2 linked regions of the Drosophila melanogaster genome follow. The protein of the gene in region 2 interacts with the protein of the main gene of each other region in a pairwise test. Each region holds a gene or a part of one and is shown on either strand. Other genes may lie near its edges.

Region 1 (6,018 bases), on a different chromosome or scaffold from region 2:
TAATTTCTTGGAATTTTTTTTTAGAAACCCTAAGCTATCTGACGTGTAAAACTAAAAAGAATTCGGTAAATTTTTCGCTGCAACGAATTGTTCCCATTTAGCTAAGGATAATTCAGCCGCTATGACGGCGAACTGGTAGTCCTCGCAGTGACAAAGCGCACCTCAAGAATGTTCGTTAAAATTAATATTTTCTCTGATAATCCAATAATAGCACTAATCAAAGTATGCGTCATTGATATACCTCAAATTTTTGAATGTGGATCGTCACTACTTGTTTAAACTTTTTTGATTGTTTTTAATAATTATACCCGTTACTCGTGGATTATATATATTCTTATATATTATATATTATATATATATTTTTGATCGGAATCAATACCTGATTCAATCTGGCCATGTCCGTCTGTCCGTCTGTATGAACGTCGAGATTTCACGAAATATAACAACTAGAAAGGCTTTCCTGATCCGAATATCAATTATCAAGCGAGTTTCAACATATTCACTTATACACTCATGCGTTTATTTACAATAGATTCACAAAGTGTTCAAAGTTATAGTTATCATAGGGTATAACTTAAGCTTAAAGGCTTACGGGACTAGCTAATCTCACTGCGTTGTTTCTCCATTTTTTTCTCTCTGTGTAGGATGCGAAACTTAAGACTATCACACTTGGTCTGCTCTGACTAGAGGTTGAAATATCCCTTCTGAGGCTTATGCCCACAATCAATAGGCCATCTCGGCGCCCCAAGGACGATAGGGCTTTGCTCCGTTGGGAGTGGCGTACTGCAGCACACTGGAGTTGTTGTAGTCCTGGCCTGGCAGTCCGCTGACCGGATACTGAGGAGCAGCACTATAGCTAAGGCTATCGGAACCTATGGCCGCTGGACGATTGCTGTTGGTCAGCTCTATGTAGGTGGGAACCTGCTGCTCGGAATGCACTGCGCTGTGGTCGTGGGTATAGTGTTGCTGCTGCGTCGGCTGAGGTGTTGTCTGCGTCCGTTGCTGTTGCTGCTGATGCTGCTGCTGTTGGTGTTGCTGCTGCTGCTGCTGTTGCTGCTGCTGTTGCTGCTGCTGTTGGCTGCTGCTGTCAGAGTGGAGATCATGGCTGGGCAGCGATTCAGTTACGGCACTTCCACTTGTCCGCGAGACACTGGTGCGTCCTCCCAGTTGCTGAGCCTGCTGAGAGGGCGAGGCACTTAGTGTGGGGTAGCTGGACACATAGGCACCCGGGTTGGCTGGCGCCGCATAGCTCTGGTAGGGAGCAGCCGCACAGTTTGGCTGATAGCCGGAGGAGCTGGGAGCAGCCGGAGACCAGCCACCCGGACTGGCGCAGCTCTTGGCCGACAGTTCGCGCTGCTGCACAAAGTACTGGAGGTGGGACATAAGGCGCAGGCGCAGAGGATCCTGAATGTCCATGCCCTCGATGGTGACCAAATAGCGGGCCACCTCTGCGGCGCACTCGCGGAACCCAATGATATGGTAGTCCATGGCCACTCGCTGCGGATCATAGCTAAGCGAGTCGAGAGCTGCAACAAGATACGAGGAGGTGGAGAAAGTCAATAAGCTGTCTAATCCCAGTTCAGGCAAACAATTAAAATAGCTGTTCCCACGCGACGAGCATAAAGAACAACCCCCATGTCCTTCGGCGGGATGGCTTGTTGTGAGGTGGCTATCGGGGGGTGAAAGCCCGCGCCTGGCTACAAGGTTGCCATCGTGGTGGTGCCGCTACTGAGCGTGGGAAGCCCCGAGATTCGAGATTCACTTGAGCGCTAGGCTGGCGCTGGTGGTGGTGGTCCTGCTTTGCCTACGGCAATCATAATTTTCCCACAATTCGACCCTGTTCGGGACAACAGGTCAGGATTGTTTACCCAGATTTGTGATAATTTGCCGCATATTGTATTTAATATCGTTACTCAATTGTTTCCCACAGCGGCTTGCGTTTAGGGATTCTGCTTGCAGTTTTTCCCATTCCAATTTTTTATAATGTATTGAAGTTCATATGTATGTCAGATATGCCTTGATTAATTAGTGCGCTAAATGGGCCCTAATGTAATATTAACTGTCGAAATAAGAAATTACTTTCTTTACACTTTACTTCTTTTAGTTAACCAACTTAGTTGGCTGCCCAAGTTAACCCTCTATTTGCTCCTATTGTGATTAATGACCCATAGAAGCGTTTAACTTCAGTGAGGAGGTCTGTGGTGCAGCTAGCCTATTTGCTTTTTAAAACCTCTTTAAGCTAGCTCAAGTGGGCTTGGTAAACTTACTTTTAGACTGCAGACTCTTGAGATGCTCCACGGTCAGCTGAAGGATTTCGGCCTTCTCCAGCTTGGCGGATCCCTGCTTCTCGTAGGCGGAGGGCACCAGGCGCTTGAGTTCGGTGAGCGAGGAGTTGATCCGATCCCGCCGCTTCTTCTCGATCACTCCGCGTCGCTTCTTGCGGCTCATCAGTTGGCAGCTGCCCGGCTCACTGGGCGAGATTCTAATGGAACAGAGGAAAGGGTTTCTATTAGCTATGGATTGAAGTTAATGATAGATTCTTAATCTTAATATCTTAATCTTTCATAGACTGAAAAACACTCTATGGTGTTACTAAAAAAACCTCTAAGTTACAGAACATTTTAAAATCTATCTTTTCTTAAAACCCTATAGTTTAGTGATTTATATTTTGATGGTTTATCAGCAACTTTGCGTTAAGTGGAGTTATCCATGACTTCGATTCACTAAGTAAATATCATGACGCACTATTTTTTTTAGCAACATAAAACGTTTGCACATCGCATGGTATTTTCAAAGGTTTCATTTTACAAGACAACTCCTAACTTGGGAACTGCGAATAGCTTTTTGTGCACTAAATTGAAAAACAAATTTTGATAAGAAGTCACGAGTACGCACTGTTCCTTGGAGGACTCCTCGGAGTAGAGATCGTCGCAGTCGCTCTCGGAAAGCGTCCGCTTCAGGCTGCCGATGCCGTGGCTATGGCCCTGGCTATGCCCGTGGCTGTGGTTGCTGTGGGCGCTGTGGTGGCTCTGCGGCGGCGGCACCCAGTGGCTCTGGGGTGTGGTGGCGGTGGCGCCGGGCATGACCACGCCGGGTCCGGCGGCGTAGCCCCAGTGATGCAGCGATGGCGCATTGACGTGCATGTTGTGATCCATTGTGTGTGGTGACCAGTGTTTACTCGCTGCTCCTGCGCACTTGACACTACTGTGTTGATGTTGCTGTTGCTGAGCTGTAGCTTTGCGTGCTGCTAGTTGCAGAGGCAGATGCAGTTGGCGGCTAGACCGGGCTGGCGGAGCTAGTTTGAGCACGTGACTTATCGTGTGCGCGAACGGCGTTCGACTGATTCTGTAGCACACGTCGAGCGGACGACCTGCCCTCCGCTGCCGCCGCTCAACCCCTTTTTACCGCCTGCGGCAGCCGTCCAATAAGATGCAGCAGCAACCACCCCCTGGCAACGCGCAGCGCGTGCTTGCCGAGATTGGGGTAGGAAACGGGAAGCAAACATATTCGCCGCGCGGCGATCGCCGCCAAGTGAGCAAGTGAGAGTGTGCGACAAGGAGCGACCAGCGCCGGCAAATGAGCAAGCCTCTGTCATCGATTCATCCGATTGTATCGCCCGACCATCTGATATAGCCTTTCAGCAGCCTCTAAAGCATCTAAAGCATCTAAAGCATCTGCAGCACGGCCTTTAATCGGCGCCGTGGGCGACAAACTGGCGGCGTCCGCCGTCCACTTGTTTGCCGCTGGAGCGGCTGCACCCGTCCATGGAACTCAAACTGGAGCACGCGCCGGTCGTGTGGCATCGCGTGGCGCCGGGTAAAGCCCCAACAAGTGCAACAGCCGCCGTTGACCTCTATCTGTGCAGTGGGACGCGTGCTGGTGGGTGGCCCACACAGTTCTAGGTCAGTGCCGGCTCAAGGTTGCGGCATCCCGGGTCCGGAATGGGAACGGGAACATCCACAGGTGCAGAAGCAGGAGCAGGAGACGAGATAACAACGACTGCGGCAGCAGGTGACCGAAGTTGACCTAGAAATTGCCCGAGGTAAAATCGACTTGTTTACCTAGAAATATGCTAATGCGGAAATAATTCACTTTAATGTTATCGAAAGCAGCGTTTCATCACAAAGGGATATAAGGAACTTGGATGGCGACGGTAAAACGTAAATATGTTGTACAATTTTACGAAAAAGCAGACGTGAGCTTTATCTTTTTCTTTATCTTTTTGATTTGCCATTATAAACTCTTAGATGCGCTTTGTCACTGCATTTCGAATATTCACATGATTTAATCCATTCTAAATTTTTTGCTGAATTGGCTAATCTTATAACTTCCTTAATTGTTCCTTGTAATTGTATGAACGCTGAGCTCTCGGGAACTATAAAAGCATGAATGTAAAACTAGTTACTAGGATTAAGAGCTAGATTGTTACAGAAGATTGCAACGCCTACTCTTAAGGACACAAACCGGCTAAAACTGCCACGTCCATACTTTTGCAAAATTGTCATATTTTTTAAAAATATTTTGGCCACTCCCAGTCTAATGGCCACAAGCTGTCAATCTAAAACTTTTGAAAAATGTTTTGATATTTTTGATTTCACTATTTTTTTTGACAGCTTTGATCGCTATTCCACCAAAATTTGTCAGTTTTTCTAATGATTTTACAAGCTGAGATAGTTAACATCGAAATTAACGTTCTGTCTGTTTTGGTTAATGTTTCCCCATTAACTTTAATGTAATATATTTTGACAGTATTGTGTTCATAAATTCAATATAACAAGCTGATCAATGTCAATATTACCTATAAATTTTATTATGATAAACTATTTCATCCAAAATTTCCCATTATTTCTTATATCAGCCGCACGGAATGTGTGTTTAAAGCTAGCAGTAGATTAAAAACAATTAAAATGCGAATGAAAAACAGTATACGGTGGAGCTGATATATTTACATATATATGTACGTTGTGGTTTGACATAACTTTCCCTAATAAAAACTATACTTGAATTATCGTTATGCAAAAATAATTCTTCTGTAGATATCTATGTTAAAATGTTCATTTCAACTCCTTTGTCCTGTCACCCTAAAGAATCCCAATATTGCTATATGAATCCCTATACTATTGTATATACTTTTATATCCCTTTACTATTATATGTTGCAATTTCGCATATAACTGGAAATATCATTAGTTATTCTCCCCCACAAAATGATTTAGTGTAGCATTTCTCCCATTTTCTCGATTAATTTCGATGGTCGAGGCGTAAGCTTGACTATAATGGAGCCCCGTATCAATTTCAAAAACGTACATCAAAATCGAAAATTATAAAAAGTGCTTTTCATTTGATTCGGCATGCTGTCGCTCAGGTTTCGAGTGCGGCAAGCAGCAAAGTGAAAATGCCTAATGTCTAATGGCCAATGCCAGTGGCAGTGCCAGCGTGGGACAAACTCGCTCCGAATCGCCGGAACCCACCCCAAATCAAGTGGATGAATAGTGGCGGGCAAGTTGCACCACCGACAACGGGACGAACCCACGAAATCGCAGCCGTGGCTCGTGGGAAAGCCAAAGGTCTACGGATTCTCACGAGCGTCCAGCACACGTGCGGGTCGTGCGCCGGAATGGATCGATGGATGGATGGGTGGGCGATGAACTTACTCCCACCCACGGGGCACAGGGCATTCGCATTCGTATTCGCATTCTGAAGTGCATTACTCAAGGTATGGAGCCAAAGGTATGGCGCCGCACACACATACACACTTTATTGTTAATGGATATTCTCGAAAACAACTTTCTATAATGAAAATTGCGGTCTACCGACTCAAATACTCGATTACATATATGTATAATATACTCGTATGTAGGTAATTCTCACAAGACTGGTTTTCGTGCTCTATCGCTGGACGCAAAGTGGAGGTTACAAAGCCGCCGAGTGTCCGTTTCCGGTCTCAGAAGCTCCTAAGGCAAAGATTGCAGTTGTTTCCGCCTACTGCATTGTCGTGTCGGTGCAGCTCCAGGCTGAG
Region 2 (5,918 bases):
GAAGTAAGTATTGAAGACAGATATAACTGTCTAATTAGAAATTGTTTAATACATATGTGCAACTAAAGTTCTCTTACTCATTTAAATGCTACCAGTAGTAAGGTTAATTGTTAGAGCCTAATCTAACCAAATCATTTGTAACTGCTAAACTTCTTTCTCTTCCAAAGTTCCAAACGAACCGTGGACTTTGGCTTGGCCCGGGGATATTCGGGTACCCAGGAGGCGAAACATCGCATGGGTCTGGCTGCAGCCAACTTTGCCGGAGGACCCGGTCGGAGGCGACGATCCGAGACCGATGTCTAAGGCGTCTGGATGAGACCGGGCTGCGAATCCTGTGAACGTTGAGGACGAACGTCAACTTTTTCCACCTAAACTTGGCCCATACTTTGATACTTTCCTAGATCTTTCATTTGCATTACGTTTAATTGTTTGTTATTCATTGTACATAAATATTTATTACGGAAATGTCCTCATGCAATTCATCAAAATTTTTTTTCCCTTCAAGAGTTATACGAAAATAATATTCAACAGATATCGAAATTATATATACCAAAGGCGAATAAAAGCGTTAAACTGTTGCTCCGAAAGAAAAAATGTTGAAAACAATTTATGCAAATTTTCATCCCAGATTTAACTCAGTGCTAATTGCTCGTTTTAACCCGAAAATATGGAAGAAAGGTAAAGAGAGAAGGGAGAAATTTAAATAAATATATCCTAAATATATATTCAAGTGTAAGCATAATCGCGCAAAAAATCTTTAACTAGGTATGTCTTACATAAACTAACAAAAATTTAAAAAAAAAGATCTACACAAATATACATACTTATATGCTAACAACACACTTTTGGCCCCCAAAATGAAGCCAACAAAAACAAAAAAACCCCAACGAAACTGAAAGTTTATTTTATCAATAGCCAACTTGGTCTCACGCGACTTTTAAGTATTGTAAATATAAATTATTAAAGCACACGTACAACTAATGCGATACAAATATATTACGGAATTCTACTTGCATATATATTTAATAATTATTGTGTCTATGCTGCAAACATATATCTTAACGTGAGTCGGACACGATCAAATAAAAGTCTACATTTTGAGAACTGGTTTGAGTTTCGTTATTTCTTTAAAGGGGGGTTCCTCCATTTTGGAAATAAGCAATTTATCTTTCGCACACCTGACGCACTCTGAGCTCATAAAATGTATCTTTCCGTTTGGGAGTTGCAAATGCATTACAAATCGAACCAACCAGCCATTAAGAAAGCTAGCCAGCTGCAAATGCAATTGATTTTATTTATTTACAGGCGAGTTAGGATCGACTGATTTATGCATGGAGTTCGAAAGGTCAGATGAGATGGCCAGATAAGTGGACTTTGAGGTACCATAAATTTCAACACACTCAATTCGCAGTTGGTAATAAATGGGATAGGTGTGTAATTAAACGTAGACACATAAATATATATTTTGTGCAAATATAAATGCGTCAAAGTGGGAATCGATAATTATTAACTGAAAAAATGTAAACCTAATTAGGCGCAGTTTATCTTGTTGTATCTTTATCAAATACTGAGTTTATTTCAGTTCTCTGATTCAGAAATATACTTTTATGAAGTGTGACAACAAAGATAAGTCTTATATTTTAAGTGGTTTGCGTGTAGTCGGAAGCGGCTAATGGCATAGATTTATCATACAATATCATTAATGATAAATAAATTCAGATTTCGAGCAATGTAATCAGCCATTAGTTTAATCCAGTTTGCGTCCGTATCGCTGCTCCTGGAGTGGGCTTTCAAGCTGAGGTGACACCATTCCAGCAGAAACTTGCTGTCGATAGCTGCGACGCTCCCTTTGAGTTGCTGGATCCTCCTCCAAGTCCCTATGAATCACACCCATCTCCTCGGCCTTTAGCATCATCAATTCATCGCGCAGCCACTGATTCTGGAGTGCCAGTATATCAACCTATGCTCAGATAGAAGTCGATTACATGTTGAACGAATGTGGATGTGCAACACCTTACACTATCCAATTCAAATTTTATTTCGGCAATAAAGTCATTAGCTTCATCCAGTTCTTTTTGAACTTCAAACAATTTGTATTTTAGTTCCGCAGTCTCATTGTGTCCACAATGCAAAATCCGACGCATTTTATGTTTCAATTCATTTAGATTTGTCCGATCCATTACCAATGGTAACCGTACTGAAGGAGTTCTAATGCACAACTGCCTTGAGGCAAAATGTTTGCTATCCATTTCGGTTTCGCAGGTAAACAAAGCTTGGTGAACTGGCCCCAATAAAGATAAATACTTATCATTCTTATTTATTGTTCTTGTGAAATCTTAGCAGCCTATATTTGTTGTTACATCTGAAGCTTTAATTTCTAAAAATCGAAAGTAGTACGTCTGAAGTTTAAAAGACAAATGATTATTTTCTTGAATTTAATACGATTTTGGTAGGTAGACAGATAAAAGATTTTGTGGTTTTGTTAAGCTATTTGACTCTATACCCTTGCAAAGGGTACAACATTTTACTCAGGATATATCATTTGGATCTCCATCTACATATATATTCGTATACCGGACGGATTGAGGTAGAAATGTCATTTAAGTCTTTTCAAATGACTACTACGAGTCTGGACTGAATTCGATTTCCACAAATCGCGGACTCCAAATATTCAAATGGATCGGCTCAAAGGAGATTTTCAAGGAGGCACTATCAAAATCCCGTAGAACCTACGGAGATAATTAAACTTAGTAGTCATTGAACAATATGTTGTGCTTAACTTACTTTACTAGGATCCAATCCAGTGTTGTGGAGATGCAGGGTCAGTGGAATCCTGCGACTTAGCAGAACTTTTGTCAGGCAGGAGCTTCGGAGGTCCACCAGCTTGGTAGACGATAGGTTAAGAATCCTAAGAAGATGGCAGTGACCTATAGAGTTCCACAGGTGGCTGGGAGACGGAACTTCTCGCATCGCCAAAAGGTGTAGCTCCTCCAAGTTTGGCAATTTGTGGCAGATGGTGTGCAGCTGCTGCGCATCGATGTCATCCTCCTGCAGGACCAGCCGACGAAGATTGGTCATGTGCAGTATACTTCCCGCCACCCGTTCACTGCTCCAGAAAGAGTCGTTGAAGAGAAGCGATTGAACCTTCAGCGGCTTGTGCCTGGCCACCGAACCTAGCAAATACTCATAGTAGTCTCGCGTGTAAAAGGCCAAGCGGCGGAAGTGCGGCAGATTCATCAGTCGGGGCAGGAAATCACCCAGCAAATGGTGGTCATCGATGTGCAGCTCTTCAAGCGTGGTACATCGCGTTATGTCCACAACTTTTTCGCCTAGGTTCACGTTATATCCGTAATAGAGCATAGTCAGCTTGGTCAGCTGTAGGTTGCCAAAGATCTCCTCGAAGTGGTCTGGGTCCAGGTACTCACACCAGGTGAGATTCAACTCCCTTAGTTGCTTCCAGTGCCACAAGTAACGACCTGTTGTGCTGCTATTGAGTGACAGCCGTGTCAAGAGCGGGAACAGCTCGGTTAGCAGAAGGGTTTCCTCGTCCGCCTCCTCGAGATTGTAGTCCATGTGGCAGTCGAGCGATCGGAGGTGGGGAAAGTCGTATTCCGTCCACTTTCTCAGCAGATCACTGCTGGCACTTTGCAAATTCAAACGCTCCACCGTTGCCGACCAGCCACCCAGACATTCGTGCATCAGCTCTAAGTTAAAAGTTACATATATTATTAATGGATCGAATTTATAACATCAGCGCTAACTGTTATTCCGATCCAGAAAATCCAGATCCTCGCGGGTCAGAGTCACTGTTTTGAGATGACTCCAATGATACTTCACGTATGCCGATATATTCTCGTTGACTTCGACCAGCGACAACTGATCCCTCATTGGTAGGTACTTTAGTATATCTATCCAAACATCTTCATTTATTTGCTCCATCTCACATCGAAATTTTTGTTCAAAACGAGATTACCAAAAACAAATACTGTCAGCTGTTTGTTTGCATGCTTGCCGTTTGAGACTTGAACTACTTGGATTTGAACTGCTTGAATGCAATGCGGCAATTTCCAACACTATTAGTATATAGAATCAACGTATCAAAATATTTAAAATGAACGCGCGAAAAAAAGAACTTTTATCGTGAAGTTATTTTTCTTATTAGTTTATTTATGGGACATTTAAGGAATACTTACTTCCTTTTCTAGCAGACCAAAACAAACTCGTTTTCTTATCATAAACGGAAAATTAACTTATTTTGCAGAAACATCTCCTTTTTATGAAATAAAATAAGATAATTTAAATATTTCAATGCATGCTTCGTTTATTTGAATGACAAAATGAACCTTAGTCTAATAAAATTCACAATTCTTAAGTGAACTCAAAAATAAAAAATGAATGTCGTTGTTGAAACTTACTTAACTAATTACTTAACGGCGAATAATGTAATCTCAGTAACATGTAAAATACTTATGAATTAGGTGGAAGAACTTATTTGATTGGCACTTGTGGGTATGTAATTGAAGCTACAACCTATCGATTGGCGTTTATTTATTAACGCGACAATAATAATACTACGTAAGTTAGGGGCCAATTAGAGCACCTCAGTTAGCATGCGCTTCGTAGACAGAATGCTTGTTATTTAATCTACCAAATGGAATATTTACAGTCTTTTAGAAATGGGATGTCTAAAATCAGGAAGAGTTGAACAGATGGAATGAATGGAATCATAACCAGTTTGTTTCCACCAGTAGTCCTTATTTACTGAGCGTCATGAACTGGAAGGGAACGTGGAAGCTCTGCCCCTTGTGCTCCACCATCAGGTGACCCCGAACGGTGGAGGCCCCCACTACGGTCACCGCTTCGCCCTTCTTCAGCTGCGGCGCCTCCGACTGTCCCTCCTCTGGAAAGTTCATCTTCATGACCCGGTTTTGGGGATAGCTTATTTTCGAATTCCCGGTGATCGTGTAGGAACGAGACGGCGGAACTGGCGGCGGACGTTCCTGTTAAATAAAAGTAGTTGGATATTTCAATAAAATCAAGCAAGCAATAATAATAGAAAACACATACCAAATCGAGTCCAAACAGGTTACAGGTCTGCTGAATGATCTTCTGGTCGCACTTCTCCTGCGGATCCGGCGGAGGAGTCCCAGCAATGGGCTGTGGCCTTGGTCTGGCCACAGTGCCTCCAATGCCCAGGCTCGTTGTCTTGGCCGAGAGGCGTGGTACTGCATCATAGAGTTTGGGGATTAGATGGGCGGAGAATGGGTATACCCGTGGGGGAATCTCACCAGAAATGGGAGCAGCAGCTGCCACAGCGGCAAGGGCGGCCATTGTGGAGGATGCGGCCTTGTTCTGTGCGGCGGAGTTCGGCGTGGTCTTGTTGTTCGGCAGTGGCGCCTGTTGAAGACCTGGGATTTTGGAGCGCTTGGCCCCGCCATTGCCCATCTTCTTGCGCCACCACCAGCCTCGCCAGGTGGCCTGCATCAGGGTGGCGCTCTTGTGCCTGATCTCGGTGCGCAAGTGCTCCAAGTGCTGGCGAATGCCCTCGCTAAGGAAGACATGACGCTTGCCAGGTGCCCAGGCCAGGGTCACCGAGCCATCCAGCACTGGCGGCTGCTCCATTGCGTACTTCAGAATCAACTGGCAATCCTCCAGAGCCTTGTCCTCGCTGCGGCGCAAGAGGCGGAATGGGGCTAGCATACGGTAGCGGGCATTGAACTGCTTAAAGCGCATGCGATGCGGGAACCCACTGGCCATTAGATTGACCGTCTCCAGGACCTGCAGGGATCTAATCTGGCGCACCACCGTAGCCCTATCAAAGCTGCGAGCCGCCTCGGTTCCATTGCTTCGGATGCAGCGCACAAAGTGCGGCCTGGCGTGCACCAGGGTTCTCAGCAAATTGTCTAGCCTGGTGTGGA

The links.
Region 1: the proteins of CG13088 (region 2) and Hey interact in a two-hybrid assay, tested with the Drosophila melanogaster proteins (one large-scale study listed by BioGRID).

What each region holds. Positions count from the first base shown.
Region 1 is NT_033778.4:7,994,938-8,000,955, forward strand, and holds Hey (Hairy/E(spl)-related with YRPW motif), read right to left. Parts: upstream 3,342-6,018; 5' UTR 3,156-3,341; coding exon 2,896-3,155; intron 2,483-2,895; coding exon 2,268-2,482; intron 1,527-2,267; coding exon 724-1,526; 3' UTR 501-723; downstream 1-500. Other genes in the region: CG11191 (uncharacterized protein), read right to left, coding at 5,944-6,018. UniProt on the Drosophila melanogaster protein: Transcriptional repressor which acts as a downstream effector of Notch signaling.
Region 2 is NT_033779.5:8,487,052-8,492,969, reverse strand, and holds CG13088 (uncharacterized protein), read right to left. Parts: upstream 3,990-5,918; 5' UTR 3,940-3,989; coding exon 3,762-3,939; intron 3,705-3,761; coding exon 2,785-3,704; intron 2,730-2,784; coding exon 2,622-2,729; 3' UTR 2,424-2,621; downstream 1-2,423. Other genes in the region: Dh31 (diuretic hormone 31), read left to right, coding at 1-3, 168-303; CG43400 (uncharacterized protein), read right to left, coding at 1,748-1,960, 2,019-2,144; dachs, read right to left, coding at 4,755-5,000, 5,068-5,225, 5,289-5,918.